5 linked regions of the Oryctolagus cuniculus genome follow. The protein of the gene in region 2 interacts with the protein of the main gene of each other region in a pairwise test. Links are inferred from orthologs where the notes say so. Each region holds a gene or a part of one and is shown on either strand. Other genes may lie near its edges. The genes, in order: TMCC2, HSPD1, SAMD3, CEP70 and LZTS2.

Region 1 (2,625 bases), on a different chromosome or scaffold from region 2:
CCGGGGCACCCTCTGTGGGAACCACTGGGAGTGGGGGCCACAGGCAGGGGGCAGACACTACTTCAGAACACACACGGGTGCCTGGTGAGCAAATACCTTGATAAGGCCAGGCTAGCCCCCAAGGTGGCCTCCTGGGGACCAGAGAGAGAGAGAGAAAGAAAGTGAGAGAGTGAGAGCGAGAGCCAGATGCGTGGAGTAAGGTCTCTGCTGCCCTCTTGTGGCCACACTTGGGCATGACTGCTGTCATCCAGGCCCCTGGTGCCTTATTATCTGCTCAACAAACTCCCTCCCAAGTCTCTTTCTGGGAGGCGCTCCAGGAGGGCTGGATGGAGCTGGAGAGGGCTGACGTCGCCTCTCCCTATCACATCACCGAGGCCAGAGTTTGGGCTGCACAAAGCCAGGCAGGGAGATCCTAGAGTAAGATGAGCACAGGCCAACAGGTGTGGCCCAGCCCTTGTCACCCAGAAGGCTGGGTCTTGCAGAGACCAGCGAATCAGCCAACGCCAGACAGGACGGTTTGAAAACCGAGAGGGTGTTTATTTCCCAGGGAGGTGCACAGCGGCCGCAGGCACTGCTCTCCCGCTCCTTTCCCGAGAGATCCCCCCTCTGGAAAGTGCCCATGGGGAGGCTGGGACGTGAAGAGAATCCATACACGACACTCGGGAGCCTTAAAAAAACACAGAGACAGACACCCTCCTGCACACAGGTACACACGTACAAAATAAATAGACGTATAAAAGAGAGGCCACGCTCCCGCCGGGAGCCCCCGCCTGCAGCCGGGACCAGGCAGAGGCCGCGTGGCCAGAACAGGCCCCGGCTCCAGAGAGAGGGGCTCGGCGGGGAAGACGGGGGTAAGGGACAAGGGGACAAATAAATAAACAAACAGAGCCCGGTGTGCTGCAGGAGGCCTCAGGGCTGAGGCTGGGCCCCCCGCCCCCCGAGCCTGTTTCCCTGAAAGTGGCAGATCCAGCGACAGGCAGGAAGGCTCGAGCCACGTCCACCGGGCTCAAGGCAGCCCAGAACCAGGCCTGGAGCAAGTGGGGCGAGGGCCTGGGCTCCCGGCAGCTGCCTCGGGGGGCGCAGCCCCTCCTCTTCCTCCTCCTCTTCTCGGTGGCCCTCCTGAGCCCGGCCATCCTGCGGGTGGCCAGGAGACAGACATCATGGCCACAGTCCAGTGCCGCCGTCCCCTCCGGCTCCACCTGGCCGCCCGTGTCTCACATGGAGCTTTCTTTAGGCCAGCAGGGAGAAGGCGAGAGACAGAAGCAGGGGCAGAGGAGGGGCAGGAGCTGCTGGAACGGACGGGAAGAAGTCGAAGGGACCTGGGAGTCCCGGGGTCCCCCCTGGAGAAGTGTGGCCAGCGGGCGGGCAGCACGGCGGGGGCGGGGGCGGGGGCGGGCGGGCCGCTCAGCTGGGCAGCAGCACGTGCTCCAGGAGGTAGGTGACGGAGTCCCAGTGCTTCCAGAGGAGGAGCAGGACGAGGAGCAGCAGGGCGGTGCTGCCGATGCGCAGGCGCGTCTTCATGAGCGGCGTGATGAAGCTGGCCACGGTGGACACGAACACCAGCAGCACGGCCATGAGCGCCAGGATCACGTTAATGAACTTGCCCAGCAGTGCCCGCGCGTTGGCGTTCTCCACGCCCTCCAGCTGCACCACCTGCTGCTGCTGCTGCTGCAGCTCCAGCTTGGTGACCCGGGTCAGGCAGGACTCCACGGCCTCCTGCAGGGGGCGCAGGGGAGCTCAGGGGGGCGGGACCCCGGCCCCACCCAGCCCTCCCAGCAAGGACAAGGCTTATTAGGAAAGGAGTGTGCGGGAAGGAGAGGAGCCGGCCCAGCCCAGCTCTCTCGGGCTGCCAGCAGAGCTGGGGGCACAGCAGTCCTCCCCCGCGGCCTGCCGTTGCACGGTGCCCCCCCCCCCAGCCCCGGGCCTGCCTCCCTCCCTCCCCCTCTGAGCTCTGTCCCCACCCACCTGGATGTCCCGTGCCCGCTCGTAGGACTGGTAGGCCACCTTCTCCTCCATGCTGGCCAGCTCCTGCTTCAGGTTTGTCATCTCGTTCTGGTGCAGCTCGGTCAGGTCGTTGAGCTGCTCCTCCAGCCGCTCGTACCTGGGACAGGGAAGGGGCTGAGGGCTGGCCTGGCTCCTTCTCGAAACGGTCACTCGGCCCACCCCATGTGTCCACAGGCAGGCCTCGTGCTCGGCCTTCGATCCACACCACCCCCACCACTCCTGCCCCAGACAGGACATGCTGTACCCATTGTACAGACAGGAAGACTGAGGCACAGCTGGTAAGGAGCCTGCTCTGCCCAGGATCACACAGCTGGGGCAGGGAGGCATTCGGGCCTGGCTGCCTTCAGCCTGGCTGACCGCTGCACAACCCAAACCTTCCTTACTTACGAGGTCCTTCCAGAGGCTGGTGGAAAAATGGAATCAAAAGCTTATTTTTTGGCCAGCGCCACGGCTCACTAGGCTAATCCTCCGCCTTGCGGCGCTGGCACACCAGGTTCTAGTCCCGGTTGGGGCACCGGATTCTGTCCCGGTTGCCCCTCTTCCAGGCCAGCTCTCTGCTGTGGCCAGGGAGTGCAGTGGAGGATGGCCCAAGTGCTTGGGCCCTGCACCCCATGGGAGACC
Region 2 (3,518 bases):
TTGTCCCACCAACCTGAAGTTCCAGAAGTTTCAGTTAGTATGGCTCCTCCCATTCAAGATGTGGACTACCTAAAAGGTCATTTAGAGATCATCCAGGAGCCAGCGCTGCAGTGCAGTGGGTTAAAGCCCTGGCCTGAGGTGTCAGCATCCCATATGGGCGCTGGTTCTAGTCCCTGCTGCTCCACTTCTGATCCAGCTCTCTGCTGTGGCCTGGGAAAGCAGTGCAAGAAGGCCCTAGTCCTTGGGCCCCTGCACCCACGTGGGAGACCTGGAAGAAGCTCCTGGCTCTGGATCAGCACAGCTCCAGCCATTTCGGCCATCTGGGGAATGAACCATCGGACAGAAGATCTCTTTCTCTGCCTCTCCTCTCTCTGTGTAACTCTGACTTTCAAATAAATAAATAAATCTTAAAAAAAAAACAAAAAAACACAACTATCCAGTTTACTTAAAATGCAATTTTAAGGGGGGAAAAATGTTGCCTACTTGTTAAAAGGAACTGCAACAACCCACAAAAGACAGATTCCAGAATGACTTTCTCATGAGCATCTTTCCCACAGCAATTTCCCCCCATAAAACTAGTTTACAAAAGCAATGTTTCGGTAAACAATTTTACATAATGAATATTGCCATGAGCACATTACTCCCTCAAATATTTAGGTTCCACAGTACTACTGGGAAATACTATAGAAGCAAAAATCAATACAACAGTGAATCTCACCTTTAGCACAGCTACTCCATCTGAAAGCTTTGCAAGACGTTCATTCAGTTTTTCTTTTTCATATTCACTAGTCGTGATGTCTAACTGCTCGATGATTTCTTGAATACGTTTTTCAATTTGAGCCTTGTCACCTTTTCCTTTCAAAAGCATAGCATCATCTTTGGTCACAATGACTTCTCCAACTTTTCCTAAGTCATGAGGTTGAACATCTTCAAGATTTAGGGTCAATCCCTCTTCTCCAAATACCTACAACATTTTAAAGTTGTAAGTTATCATACTGTACTTCTTTGAAATGAACAGACTTCAAGACCAACATAAGTCTATAAGAAGATTTAAATTGTCTTTCATTGCATTTTCAACATCTCAGTTTTCACAACTCTACCAGTCACTATTATTCTAATTTGAGAAATACTCAATGCCACACTTATTGAAGGAAGGGAGACTATACCGACCATAAGCTGAAATTCTTTTTTTTTTTTTTTTTTTGACAGGCAGAGTGGACAGTGAGAGAGAGACAGAGAGAAAGGTCTTCCCTTTGCCGTTGGTTCACCCTCCAATGGCCGCCGCGGCCAGTGCACTGCGCTGATCCGATGGCAGGAGCCAGGTACTTCTCCTGGTCTCCCATGGGGTGCAGGGCCCAAGCACTTGGGCCATCCTCCACTGCACTCCCTGGCCACAGCAGAGAGCTGGCCTGGAAGAGGGGCAACCGGGGCAGAATCGGGTGCCCCGACCGGGACTAGAACCCGGTGTGCTGGCGCCACAAGGCGGAGGATTAGCCTACTGAGCCGTGGCGCCGGCCAGGCTGAAATTCTTTAATCCCACAATGGATTATTTTTTATCACATTATTGACTTTCAAAACTGAAAGCAGATTTAGTAAAAAAGCTCATTCTTAGTAAGCCAAAAACATGGCAAATCAGAGATAAAAGCAGCAGAAGATAGCCCAGCGCTGGCCACTGTGGTCATTTGAAGAGTGAACCAATGGATGGAAGATCTCTCTCTCTCCCCCCTTTCCTTATAACTCTGCCTTTCAAATAAATAAATAAGTCTTTTAAAAATAAATTTTAAAAATTAAAAATAAACAGTAACTAATTGTGAAAAATTAAATTCTCTCTAAATTTTAGACCTGGAAATATAAATAACATTCAGTAAACAAATATAAAACTTAAGTTTACTTACTGCACCACCAGTAGCAATAGCCATATCTTTAAGCTGGTTCTTTCTATTGTCACCAAAACCTGGAGCTTTGACTGCTACAACCTGAAGACCAACTTTTAGCCTGTTAAGGACAGAAGACGGTGAGACTTAAATTGAATAAAAATACCTACTATCTAGTTTAGTTCCTCTCAAGTCCTGGTACTACCAGAACTGTTCATATTAAAAGAGGAAAAGTAGGAGACAGAGCTATATTCTACTCATCTATACTTCTTTGTAGCTGATTACCTTCTTAATAAACTGCTGGCCTCACATTCCAGTTGAACCGCTGAACCCAGAAGCAAAAATCACATTACAATTAAGGACATATTAGCAACTATTTTATGAGTGATGGAAAACAATAATTATAAAATATTAAAAGTAAATGAGTAATCTAATGAAGACTTCTATGGGTTATTGTTAAAGTTAAGTTTGAACAAAGAATGTCCCAAATTTAGCTCTTTTATAAATGTTATACAAAACTGTAGTGTTAAACTCACCTGAAATTTTATCAGGTAAATGAATACTTGAAATATCATAATCAAAGAAATGTCCATTAGAGAGCAGATTGTGAACAAAACTTTAAGACAGTGTCGCTCTATTTTACTGAGACAAATAAAAAACTAGGATAAGCTATGATGATATGCTATGAAAACTGGGCAAAGACTTTAGAGCTACCGGTAAACAGCTCAACAAAAACTTTGCACTGTTTAGAATATGACCATTACTTATTTCAAGGTTAAAACCAATATTAAACTATAAACTTGTTGAATAGACTTCATCTTATTTTAGGTTGAGTGTTAATTTCTCTCACTTGAGAATATGAAATACTTATCACTAAATACACTAAGGGATGAGGTTTTTATAATGGCAATTATTTCCTTCCTTCCTTGTTCCATGCAAAATTACCTTGTGTTCCTCGGGGCTCGCTTGTGGCACAGTAGGTTAAACTGCTGCCTGTGACACCTGCATCCCACATTAGAACACCGTTTGAGTAGCAACTGCTTTGCTTCCAATTTAGCTCCCTGCTAATGTATCCAGGAAAGCAGTGGAAGATGGCCCAAGTATTTGGGCCCCTGTGACCCACATAGGAGACCCAGATGGAGTTTCAGGCTCCTGGCTTCAGCCTAGACCAGCCCTGGCTGTTGCAGTCATTTAGGGAGTGAACCAGTGATGGACATCTCTCCCTGATGTTGTCTTTCAAATAAATAAAAATAATTCTTAAAGTCTTCTGAAACATGAAGATGCAAGCAGCACACCTGTACTCCAAAAAGCTGATAAAAAATAGAACTAAAGATAGTTTGGTCCAAAGAAACAATTTAAAACCATGCAGTTTTTTCCATAAGAGGCTTTTTACACAAATTTTGTAAAGAACTTTCATATACACTACAAATCTAGATACAAACACAGGTTGATAGAATATGGAGGAACATAATGGAGATTTCAAACATCAATACAAGTTCTTCATCAGGAAATGTGAAGTATCAAATACACTGCTTATTACCTATTCAAAACAAGTGTACTCAGAGCTTCTCCATCAACATCTTCAGCAATTATGACCAGGGGCTTACGGTGAGCATTGGCAATTTCAAGAGCAGGTACGATGGA
Region 3 (3,518 bases), on a different chromosome or scaffold from region 2:
TGCAAGGAGATGGACCTGAGCACTGGCATGGGAGGCTGGAGGTGGTAGAGAGGGAAACAGTTCAGAGAGGACAGCCCAGAGCCAATACCCATGCAAGAGTTCATATGAGAAGAGCTGCTCTTCTCTGCACACATGGGGTTGCTGGGACCTCACAGACCTGAGTCTGAGGCTGGTGCTCTTGCCCTGATGGTTGTGGATCCTGTGCCAAGGTGACAAAGCCATTCAGGAAAACTTCTTCTCTAAAACTAAGTTTCACTCACAGAAGAGAAAATAACACCTACTCTGCAGGATTGCTGTGTGGACTAAATGAGATGGCAACATAAAGGGTTTGTGAGAACTATAAGAGGTCGCACCTTGCTTGGCTCTTACCTGTTATTCTCCCTTTGCAACAGCCCCTCTTTCAATGATTGAGGAACTTGGCCACACGTTACCTACCATCGCTCTTGAGACTGTCTGGGCTCCACATTCCTGTGTATGCTTCTCTAGGTCTATACATTCCCTTTATTCTAACGTAAGCCATATATTGAAATACTGTACCATATAAAATCCAGTGTAGAAATATAAAGGAAAAGTTTTCCAAAACTGGGTTGCTATCAAGAATAGTCAAGCTAAAGCAACAACTACAAAATTCAGAACAAAGACTCCACTAAAGGCCTATTCTACAGAACATTATTCATGAAATAAACATCATCTTTTGCAGTTTATGGCAGTTTATGGCAGAGAAATCCTCTTTTATCTTAAGTATATGTACTTGAAGGATATGTATAATTTTAGAACTTTGCTTTTCCAATGTGAAGATCATAAAATATAACCTTTATCTTTTAGCAAATATTTTCACTACTTGACAATAAAATTCCCTTCCAGGATAGCAAAACACCTAACATTAGAAATATATTTAAACACAAGAAAGCTCATTTCAAAAAGAATGTTATCATTTGGCTTCAATATATATACAGTCAGCACTTTACCTCTGTTTCAATACTCTTTGGTCGATTTGTCCATTATCTAGGTTGTCAGCTGGGTAAAACGATGGTGTCTGTTCCTCACAGCTGGCTAGACTGGAAGACTGTTCATCTCTGTAACCAAGAAAGAAGAGGTGGGTCAAGCGCTATTCAACAGGAGCTATAAGCATTGATCTGATAGCAGCTCTGAGATTAGAGGTCAAATCGCAGGTAACATGATCTCTGTCCATGTCCAAGCTCCCCACGAGCCTCATAACTAAGATACTTGGAAGAAGGACCCTCTGGAGTCATCTCACTCAGTGGTTCCTATAAGTAGGGAGGGAGAGCGATGCCAGTTCATCATACTACTTTCACCCATCTATCATATTTTTAAATGGTGTTAGGATCACATGGGAAGCGGGATACACAGTAGACTCATAGAATGGCAGATGCCCTAAATAGCACTCTGGCCTCAGAATCAGCCCTTAAGGCATTCAGATCTGGCTAAAAAGCCCATGAGAGTATTTCAGGCATGGAAAGCCAAGACAATCTAGCAAACAAACAAAAAAATGACCTAAATGAAAGATCTCTGTGAGTGAAGTCCCAGCGGAAAGAACAGGCCATCAAGGAAGGAGGTACCTTTCTCTGAAAGGAGGAGAGAACTTCCACTTTGACTATGGCCTTATCTAAATAAGATCGCAGTTGGCAAATTCAAGAGGCTTCCATAACCTTGGTAGCTCATGACAAGAGCCTCGGGTGATTACTGACGTCATACTCCCATGTAGGATCTCTGTCCTTAATGTGTTGTACTATGTGAATTAAATGGTATAACTAGTACTCACACAGTACTTTATACTTTGTATTTCTGTGTGGGTGTAAACTGTTGAAATCTTTACTTAATATATACTAAATTGATTTTCTGTATATAAAGATAATTGAAAATGAATCATGATGTGAATGGGATGGGAGAGGGAGTGGGAAATGGGATGGTTGCGGGTGGGAGGGAGGTTATGGGGGGGGAAAGCTGCTATAATCCAAAAGTTGTACTTCAGAAATTTATATTTATACAATAAAAGTTTTTTAAAAAAAGAAAGTGTTTGCAAAATAAAAAATGGTGTTAGGATCATCCTTTCCTTTCTGAAATGATAATGACAATAGAATGTATCTTTTTTAAGTTAATATTCTTACTTGGTAAAATAAAATGGTAAACTCTATGTGATCCCTTCTCTACTTGTTGTCATTTTGGAGGACATTTTATTCTTTGTGAAATCTCATAATCTTAGAACCATATTCCACTAACATCCTCATTTTCCAAGTGAAGCAACTGGAATCCAGGAGGGAGAACAGCTCACTCATGGTCACAGGCTGCACAGTAGCAGTGACAAGGTTTCAGATCAGTTTTTCCAACATCCAGTCCAGTGATTTTTCTAGCAGCTTCAACAAGAGCAACAACCAAAAATACCAGTAAATAGTCTCACCTATTGCATAGTTCAATCATTCTCTTAAGTCTAAATAGGATGCCAAATACTCTGCCCAAATATGCCCTAAGGATGCTTTTCAAAATAATGCCCTGGGCAGCATTACCCAGGAAGTGGAATGTCACTCAAGTTGAAACCCATCTGCTATCTGTAATCTAGAATGCCAACCTAAAGCATCATTTATGCTCCCCACTTGATTTTACAGTTGAAGTTGAAACTAGGAGAAGTCAAGGTGAGAGGACTATCTAACATCCTATCAGGGGTGTGAAACTGAGTGCTTTGATAGCCAGCTTTAGGATGTCTTCTTATACCACGTCTATCTTTATTAAGCACTTTCCAACAGGCATTAATTAAATGACATATATCCATGCTTCTTTCAATCATCATTCACACTTGAAGTTATAACAAAATACTTAGTAGTGAGTGAATATCAAGGGTTTTCAAAAAGTTGGTGGGAAAAGCATATTATGAAAAGTTTCCTTATGGATTTCAAAATCCTTTTGTGCAAAAATATACTTATATTTTAATTCAATTTTTCCACAATCTTTTTGAAGTACACTCATACAAACAATAAGCATTCTACTCACAGGCAATTGTGATTTCATAACACTAATTTAACCCAAATGCCAGGCAACACAATCCTTCAAGTGACTCATGCCTAGCGGATAGAGTGGAAAGCCCCTACTGGACAGCAAGTCTTGAAAGACTTGGCTACATTTGCAACCAGCTTTCTTAACCAGGTTAACAAAGCTTGATAATGAGCACAGGACTGTTTTGGCTGAGAAAGGGAGCTGATTCTCTGGAAGATTAATATACTTGTAACATCAGTGTAAATTAATAAGGACTTAGGTAGCGCATTGCTTTTCACAGACGAAGACATGGGAGTGCCAACTTTGAAAATCATCAGTCTAAGTCAGTGGTAGAACCAGGAATGAAGCCCAGATTCCCTGGCAGTGCGGTCAGTTCTCATTGACTAGACAATAGCATACACTGATCTACAGTAGACAAACTTGCCTGTTTTCTCCTAGCTGTGCCTAAGGCAATATCAAGATTCCAGTCAACTGAAAGAACTTCCACTCACAAGTCTGACCTATCCAAA
Region 4 (3,518 bases), on a different chromosome or scaffold from region 2:
AGGGAGTTGGATGCCTTCCAAGATCATAAATTCTACCAAGATTTCTTATTATGCAATGACAATGCCAGGATCAACTGGGCATGACCAGAGTACTGCCATTTTTCTCAGAAGGCCCCAAAACAAAGGCAGTCCCGATCTCCTTAAAGAGTCTGTGTTTCCCTGCTCTGTGAACGAATCCCATCCAACTTTAACTACAAATTAGGAGGTTATTTCCAAAATTTGGTGATTTTCAGACAATTTCTAAAAAACACTGGAAGCAAAAATACTAACCCAGTGACCAAGGAACACTTATATTCAACCCACTGACATCTTAAAACTCAAAATTTAATCATTATCAACAGAGGTCTTACCTAAGATTTCAAGAAGATCGTTGGTAAATGCCTGAAATGCTGGGAAAAATTCCTCATGTTCTTCTAACTTCTTGATAATGCTGTTTTAAAAAACACACAATTTACACCAAGATTTCAACTTATGGTTGTTACATGTAGTTGCAGACATGGATGCAAACAGAACATTTTCAAACCACAAAGATACTATGCCAATTAATGATCAAAATACTATAATCCTTCCTTTTTGACCTCTTTGTTCACCTAAGACTGCATTTCTTAAAAAAAAAAAAAAGGAATATTATCAGTGTAGATACTTGTTAAATTTATGTAACAAAAATCCTAACATGGCAAACTTTTCATTTAGCTCTAGGCTTCTTAGGAAATATTTTTTAAACATTTTTAAAAAAATAAGTTTTTATAACCAGTAGCCTATTAAACATTAATAAAACTAGCAGTAATCAACAAAACCATGGGAAGGAGAAAAAAGCCAATATGGGATATATTTTGATTTTAAAAGCATCAAACATCAGCAAACTCAAGTGTCAGGTTATATACTGGTTATTCCAGGGAAAGTTACAGAATATATGAAGTATCTGGTATATATGTGTACTTTCCTTACCATATATTATAGTACAAAATTGGGGGTAAGGGATGGAGAAAGTTGCTGTAGGTACAGCCATAGTGTCTCAGTATTTTTAACAAACATTAAGTTTTGTTAGTGGTGCCTAGTCTTTTAAAAAATCCTTAACACTTATCTCCTTAACAGTAAAATACTGTTAGTGATTATTATGTGATCTACAGCAGTATGCTAAAAATAGGTCTTGTTGGGGCCTGCACCGTGGTATGGCCAGTGAAGGCACCACCTGTGGCACTGGCATCCCATATGGGCACCAGTTCAAGTCCCAGTTGCTCCACTTCCAATCTAGCACCCTGCCAATGTGCCTGGGAAAGCAGTGGAAGATGGCCCAATGCTTGTGTACCTGTACACATGTGGGAGACCTAGAAGAAGCTCCTGGCTTCAGTTTGGCCTAGATGGGCTCCACTCTGGCTATTGTGGTCATTTGAGGACTGAGCCAGATGATGGAAAATCTCTAATTCTGACTTTCAAATAAATAAATTAAAAAAAAAAAAAAAAAAAAAGGCTTGTTGACATAATCCAGAACTCATGAAATGGCTAAAAAGTTTGGCATTTCTCCATATATAACTTTAGGTTTATGCTGAAGAACTCCTGACCCACCTTATGGAAACTTAAAGGCCCTACAATCTGTTATTTTGAAATGACCTGGCATTTTCCCTGTTCCTATGGATGTGAGTTTATTTTAGGTTGTTAAGTTACTTAAAAGAGGATATTCCAAAAACAGAAGGTAGATAACTTATGTTATCTTTTCAAGTCTGTAATTTTACAACTTCTAGCACTACAGATGATACTGTTCAAACAAATACCTCTGGAGATCTTCAGGTCCTAATACTTGCTTAACCTGCTCGTTCACATCCTCATTAATCAGACTACACAGTTTTCCAACTGTGCTTACCAACACACACATTGATGATGAACTATCTGCAAAAAAGAAACAAAAGGACAGGATATTTAGGAGTGCTTGGCCTAGCAGTTAAGTTGGTGGCTGGGATGCCAGAGTGTGTTAGTTCAATGCCTGGCTCCAGCTCCAGTTCCTGATTTGTTTCCTGCTAATGTGGCCCATGGGAGGCAGTGGTGATGGCCACTGGCCATTGTGGGCATTTGGGGAGTGAACCAGCAGACAGAAGCTTGCTCTATAATAAGTAAATTTTATAAAGCAGGTAGGATACTTAAAAAGAGAATTTTCAAAATCAGTACAGCTACCAAACATTTTAGGCTTCAGGAAAGGACATTAAGCACAGTGGTGAAGATATTGTCCAAGACACCTACATCTCATATCAGAGTGCCTGGGTTTGAGTCCTGTCTCCGCTCCCAATTCCAGCTTCCTACTACTAGTCACCCACATGGGAAACCCAGATTGGGTTCCCAGATTCTGGCTTCAGCCTGGCCCAGCACCAACTGTTACAGACATCTGGAAAGTGAACTAGTAGATGGCAAATCTTAGTCTTTGACAAGTTAAAAAAAAAAAAAAAGATAAATTATTTTATGCTCCAGTTGTCCTCTTTTTACCTTGCTTTTGTTAATTAGAAATAATTATTAAATGGGGACCAAAAATGACAAAGGCCATCACCTAATTCTAGGAGTTCCTGGAGGTTTCTCACAGCATTGCTCATTTCTCCAAGCCTAGTGTAAACTTCATTCATTCGGGGATAGACTCCATTTAAAGAAGGTACATCAAATAATTTTTGGAAGTGAGAGACAATAGCTTGCAAAGTTTGAAAGTTTGGTACTTTGCTGTCCTGTCCAAAAGAGAGGGTGGGAAAGAAATACAGTAGACATTTTAAAATAATCCCAAATGTTTAATTAAAAAACACTTATTTTAAAAGAGAAATAGAATGTTAGTAGAATATGTAATATCCATATAAAATTTTAAGATAAAAGTATATTACATTTTGAACATTTATAAAAATAAATATTACCTTTTCCTTATTTTCAACTTCTTCCAACATGGTATCTACCATAAATAACAGATCACCAACTCTGATTCCTTCATTTTCATCCTGCTTCCTTAAATTATGCCAAGGTACCAGCTCTGCAGATAGTATTTTCAAGGACTTATACAAATCCTTTATAACAGAAGAAACTACATGGTATTATTGATTTATGTAAATATTTCTACAGTAACACTAATAAAACACAATTATCCAAGCAGCTTAAAAAATATATAGCCCAATTATATGTTTTATAAAACATACTATTACCAATTTAGAACAAGTGTTTTTTAAAACTAGGTTTCTTCAGGTAAATATAAGCTTTGCCAAAATATTATACATTGATTTTCCTGAATTTGTATGCTAAAGTAATGACATCTTATTATTATTACATGTTATTTAAATATATATTTGAATGACTGACACATAAATAATAAGTTTACCCTTATATTTTAGTTTTGGATTTTTTTATGATAGCTTTATTGAGATGATCACATACCATAAAGTTAATACCTATTGAATATATAATTCAGTATTTTTAGTATTACTACAGTAATGAGCAAATTTCATCACTAATTTCAGAGCATACTCATCACCCTCAAAAGAAACCTCATGACGACT
Region 5 (4,264 bases), on a different chromosome or scaffold from region 2:
CCAGCTCTCTGCTGTGGCCTGGGAGTGCAGTGGAGGATGGCCCAAGTGCTTGGGCCCTGCACCCCATGGGAGACCAGGAGAAGCACCTGGCTCCTGCCTTCGGATAGGCGCAGTGCGCCGGCCGTGGTGGCCATTGGAGGGTAAACCAACGGCAAGGGAAGACCTTTCTCTCTGTCTCTCTCTCACTGTCCACTCTGCCTGTCAAAACAAAACAAAACAAAAAGAATCCCAGCATCCTATACCCTCTCCCTATACAAGGCCTTGAGTCCCTGTGCTGTCCCCTGATCCAGGCCAAACGCCTTCCTGACATGAGTAACAACGCCCTGACCCCCCCCCCCCCCCAAGGCTCCTCTTCCAAGTACTGGCACGAATCTCATTTCTCTCTGGGCCCCAGACCACTGCTCCCTGGTCTGCACAGGGCCACCAGGCAGAGATGAAGGGATCGGAAGCCTGCACAGGGCCACCTGGCAGTGGAGGCCCAGACCCAGACCTGCAGCCCCACGGAGACCAGGACTCAGGTTAGGCAAGAAGCCCTCTCTCCCAGCACCTGGCCCAGGTCCCCAGTCTCCTGGGACAGGTGGCCTCGTTACAGGGCAGTTTGGGCAGCGACAACCTCAAGGACACCACCAGCAACTCAGACAATAATTAGGGAACAAAGAGCCAAGGCCAAGCAGCGCCCCACCTCCCCCTATTGGGCCTCAGTTTCTCCCAGACAGAGAGGCGGCAAGGGTGGAGCTGGCCAAACAGGCAGTCCACAGCTCTCAGGGCACACACACCTGCCTCCTGGAGGTGATGCAGGCACTTGCTTGTTTCTATGACAACCCCTACCCTCTCCATACCCAGTCAGGGTGTGACATGGGGCCTAAAGGAGCCTTCATGGGCGCTGCCCGACTCCAACCTCTATCAGAAGCTTCCAGCTTCCGCCATCTCCAGAGAAACCCCGATGGAGGCGGAAGCCCCACCATCACTTCTGGCAGCTGCTCCAAGACCTCACCACCTCCCCGGGCTCTGCTCCTTCCTGGAAGGGGAGAGCAAGCCTCCCTGGGGAACTCCCTCCGGTCCCGAGGCCGCAGAGCACCAGGGCTCTGGCATCTGCCGAAATCATCATGCAGAACGTGCAGGCCAAGGAGGCGGACAGAAAACTTCCTGGGAGTAGGAATGTGTGCGTGTACAGGTCTTCATGGCCGCCTTTATGCCCAGGGGCAGCAGAGTGAGCACTGCGTGCCAGGAATAATGCGTGTGAAAACATGAGTGTGTGTTTGGACATGTTCAATACATACACCCGTCTAGGTGTGAACTAACGTGTGAACCTCACACGTATGCGTGTGTAATTAAGGGTCACCATGCAAGTACGCAGGAGTAGTAAATGCACAGGTAACAGGTGAGTGTGCTGAGATGCTGAAGAGGAACCCAGGACATGGGTTCCCCCCCGCGAACTCCTGTGTGTGCACAGCAGGCCGGCCAGAGCCGGGTTACCCACAGAGAAGGCTCTGAGGGCAGGCATGTCGGGCACCGGGGAGTGCGAGGGAACCCGCCAGTTTTCACTCTGGAGTGTGGGGAGAGGGGGAACCACCTTTGTCCGAGCTGTTCCCCTTCTTTCTTGCTTGTGTTCCATCGAGTTCATCCCTTTCCTCTCTACCCAAGTGAAAAGACACCAAGAACCAGGTCGGTGTCAGTCCAGACTGCCGGAGGAGCTGCTGGGAGCAATGGTGGGCCTGGCTGCAGGGCTGGGGCCTGACAGCACCCCAAGCTCCAGCCCTGGGCAACGCGGGCACCCGGGAGCCTCCTCCTCCCTCTGCAGGGCCACGTAAGGCACGGACAGGACGGGGGAAGGGGCTGCTAAGGGGGCCATGCGGGCTGGCATTTCTGTCCGCATTTCTCCTCTTCAGGGAGCACAGAGAAAAGTGAAAACTGAAGGAAGGCGATGGGCCCACTCGGAGAAAGAGCCAAAGGCCGAGACAAAGGCTCAGGGAGGCGCGGGGGTCAGGCGGCCAAGGAAGCCAGGCAGGCCGGCCCATGGCGCCAGGCCCCGGAACCGCAAGAGGCCAAGGCCCCCCAGACCCAGAGCGACGAAAGCCGGCCAGCCAGGCCCAGCCAGTAGGACTCCCGCTCTCAGAGCCCGACTGAGAAGGAGGGGCAAGCCGAGGCTCCATTTTGAGAAATGCGCCGTGGCTGTGGGCAAAGGGAACCCCTCGCTCTCCCGAGTAATCGCCGCGGTGGGCAGGACGGAGGGCTGAGGGCTGGGGCTCAGCCAGGGCCAGCGACGGCTCTGGCCGCGCTCCGAGCTCGCGCAGACCTGTTTTGGGGGCTGAGGAGTTCGGGAAAGTCGCCCTCCCACCTCAACTCCAAGAACAGTCACGCAGGCTCAAGTCTGGGATCCGAGTTCCCATTCCGAGGCAGGAAGCCGGGACCCCTCCCCCCGCCCACCCCCACTCAGCCGACGACCCCCCCCCCCCACCAGCACGGCGGCCGCCGAACGCCGCCTCCCCTCCCGACGCCGCCGCACAGAAGTTGGGGGCGACCCCGGGTCTCCTCCCGGCCCCGGCCTCCCCCTCACCTCCGCCGCGCTGCTCCATGCTCAGCCCCGGGCCGCCCCAAGCGCTCCACAGGCGCGCCGCCCGGCTCCGGCCCGCGCGCGGCCACTCGGAGCGGCCCGACCCGGCCGGGCCCCGCCTCCGCCTCGGCGGCGCACCCGGCCCGGGCCAGTCCCCTCCCGGCCCGAGTGGGCGGCGCGGCGCGGGGCGGCGCGGGGGAGGGGTCCGAGGGGCGTCCCCGCCCCGGGGCGCGGACACGCGCAGGCACCCCACGTCACGCGTGTCTGCTGGGGCGCACGCAGGGGCTGCGCGGCGGCGAGCGGGACCCCTCCCGCCGAGTCTCGGTGACTGCGTGTCGGACGGCTCGGTCGGCTGTGGATTCGGCGGGCGGGTCACCCCCTACCAGAGCCGGGCCCCGGGGCCAGCGGCAGCTGGTCATTGTTCGAGCACAAAGGGCCAAGGCGCGGCGCGGCGGCCCCTCCCCCTCGCTTCTCTAATCGAAGCCCGCCCCAGACACTCTCCAGCTTCAGAGTCCAGAGCGGGAAGCCGAGGGTCAGCTGCCCGCCGCTCCTCGGCTGCCGGGGCCCTGCGCCCCAGCACTAGTCGGGGGCCGCGGCCAGGTCCCTGCCTGGCCCACCCCACAGCGGGCTGGAGGCGGTACACGAGGATCTGCGGAGGCGGCGCCACCTGGCGGTCGGTTCTCAGAGCACATCTACTCGCCCCCCGACCCAGGGGGGTCTTCTCCCACTCCACAGCCCGTGCCCGTGGACGCCAGCCCAGGCCTGCCCTTGGCGCGGCTCTGGACTCCCCAACTTTCCCTTGGAGTCGCTGGCTAAGAGAAGGGTCATTGCCCGGGGAAGGGCGGCTTCTGGCCTCCCCAGTGGAAAGGCACAGCCCAAGCCTACACCAGCTTCCCACCAGACAACATTCCACGGTCTCCTCAGGGTCACGCATATGCTCACCCTCTTGGAAACAACATCTTAACACCCACACGACCTTTCCCACATTCAGTCTCGGGCAGCCGCAATCGCAGAGCTTCATCCGTCACGTGGTCCCCCAGGCCTCCTTCCATGCACTCCCAGGCCAGCTCCCGCGCAGCCCCGCGTCACACCGGTTGTGCATTAAGTCTTTCACAACAACTCGCAGGCCCTCGCACCTCCCAGCATCTTTCACATGCTGACAGCCTCGCAGTACTCACAAACAGCTTCTCATACTGCACACCGTGTTTTGCATGCACTCTATCACACAGACCTTTCCTTAGGGGTCTCTGTGACCTGGCCAGGTCAGCTGATGCCCGCTGGCCTTGGCGAGGACGGCCTCCCTCGCCCAGACGGCAGCCCTCCCCCGCAGGGCCAAGGCCAGCCAGAGCTGGGCTCTGCCCCAGGAAGGAGCATCCCCCCCTTCCAGGCCACAGCCCTGGCCGGCGCTCAGCTCTATTTTTAGCTCGATGGGTTGTTTTTCTTTCTTTTTCCCTGGAAAGGGAAACATAGCCCAGCCAACCTCAGGCTCACCCCAGACCCTCAGCTTCGCAAAAACAGACTGAGCCCCTTCCCCAGTGGAGAGCCCCTTCCTCTGGTCGTGCCCTGATCCCGGCCTCCTGGGGCACTCAGAGCCGCCTCCCCTTGCTGGCAGCGCGCCCGGAGGCTCAGGCAGCAGCTGGGATCAGCATGGTGGAGTGCTGGGGGGTGGGGCCGGGGAGCGAGGCACCAGCCCGGCTCCCTTGGCTCCTG

What was found.
Region 1: the proteins of HSPD1 (region 2) and TMCC2 interact in a two-hybrid assay, tested with the Homo sapiens proteins (2 studies listed by BioGRID). The two-hybrid records come from large-scale screens. The link is inferred for Oryctolagus cuniculus from reciprocal best matches to the Homo sapiens genes HSPD1 and TMCC2.
Region 3: the proteins of HSPD1 (region 2) and SAMD3 interact in binary tests that used the Homo sapiens proteins (3 or more experiments, as listed by UniProt). The two-hybrid records come from large-scale screens. The link is inferred for Oryctolagus cuniculus from reciprocal best matches to the Homo sapiens genes HSPD1 and SAMD3.
Region 4: the proteins of HSPD1 (region 2) and CEP70 interact in binary tests that used the Homo sapiens proteins (3 or more experiments, as listed by UniProt). The two-hybrid records come from large-scale screens. The link is inferred for Oryctolagus cuniculus from reciprocal best matches to the Homo sapiens genes HSPD1 and CEP70.
Region 5: the proteins of HSPD1 (region 2) and LZTS2 interact in binary tests that used the Homo sapiens proteins (3 or more experiments, as listed by UniProt). The two-hybrid records come from large-scale screens. The link is inferred for Oryctolagus cuniculus from reciprocal best matches to the Homo sapiens genes HSPD1 and LZTS2.

What each region holds. Positions count from the first base shown.
Region 1 is NC_091444.1:20,627,821-20,630,445, reverse strand, and holds the end of TMCC2 (transmembrane and coiled-coil domains protein 2), read right to left. Parts: intron 2,102-2,625; coding exon 1,966-2,101; intron 1,717-1,965; coding exon 1,405-1,716; 3' UTR 517-1,404; downstream 1-516.
Region 2 is NC_091434.1:42,771,216-42,774,733, reverse strand, and holds part of HSPD1 (60 kDa heat shock protein, mitochondrial), read right to left. Parts: coding exon 3,415-3,518; intron 1,996-3,414; coding exon 1,896-1,995; intron 965-1,895; coding exon 719-964; intron 14-718; coding exon 1-13. UniProt on the Homo sapiens protein: Chaperonin implicated in mitochondrial protein import and macromolecular assembly. Together with Hsp10, facilitates the correct folding of imported proteins.
Region 3 is NC_091436.1:38,930,245-38,933,762, reverse strand, and holds part of SAMD3 (sterile alpha motif domain-containing protein 3), read right to left. Parts: intron 1,077-3,518; coding exon 969-1,076; intron 1-968.
Region 4 is NC_091435.1:143,243,390-143,246,907, reverse strand, and holds part of CEP70 (centrosomal protein of 70 kDa), read right to left. Parts: intron 3,033-3,518; coding exon 2,886-3,032; intron 2,706-2,885; coding exon 2,537-2,705; exon of another isoform or gene 2,236-2,536; intron 1,888-2,235; coding exon 1,773-1,887; intron 431-1,772; coding exon 351-430; intron 1-350.
Region 5 is NC_091446.1:28,872,962-28,877,225, forward strand, and holds the start of LZTS2 (leucine zipper putative tumor suppressor 2), read right to left. Parts: upstream 2,803-4,264; 5' UTR 2,558-2,802; intron 2,420-2,557; exon of another isoform or gene 1,695-2,419; 5' UTR 1,625-1,694; coding exon 1,574-1,624; intron 1-1,573. UniProt on the Homo sapiens protein: Negative regulator of katanin-mediated microtubule severing and release from the centrosome. Required for central spindle formation and the completion of cytokinesis.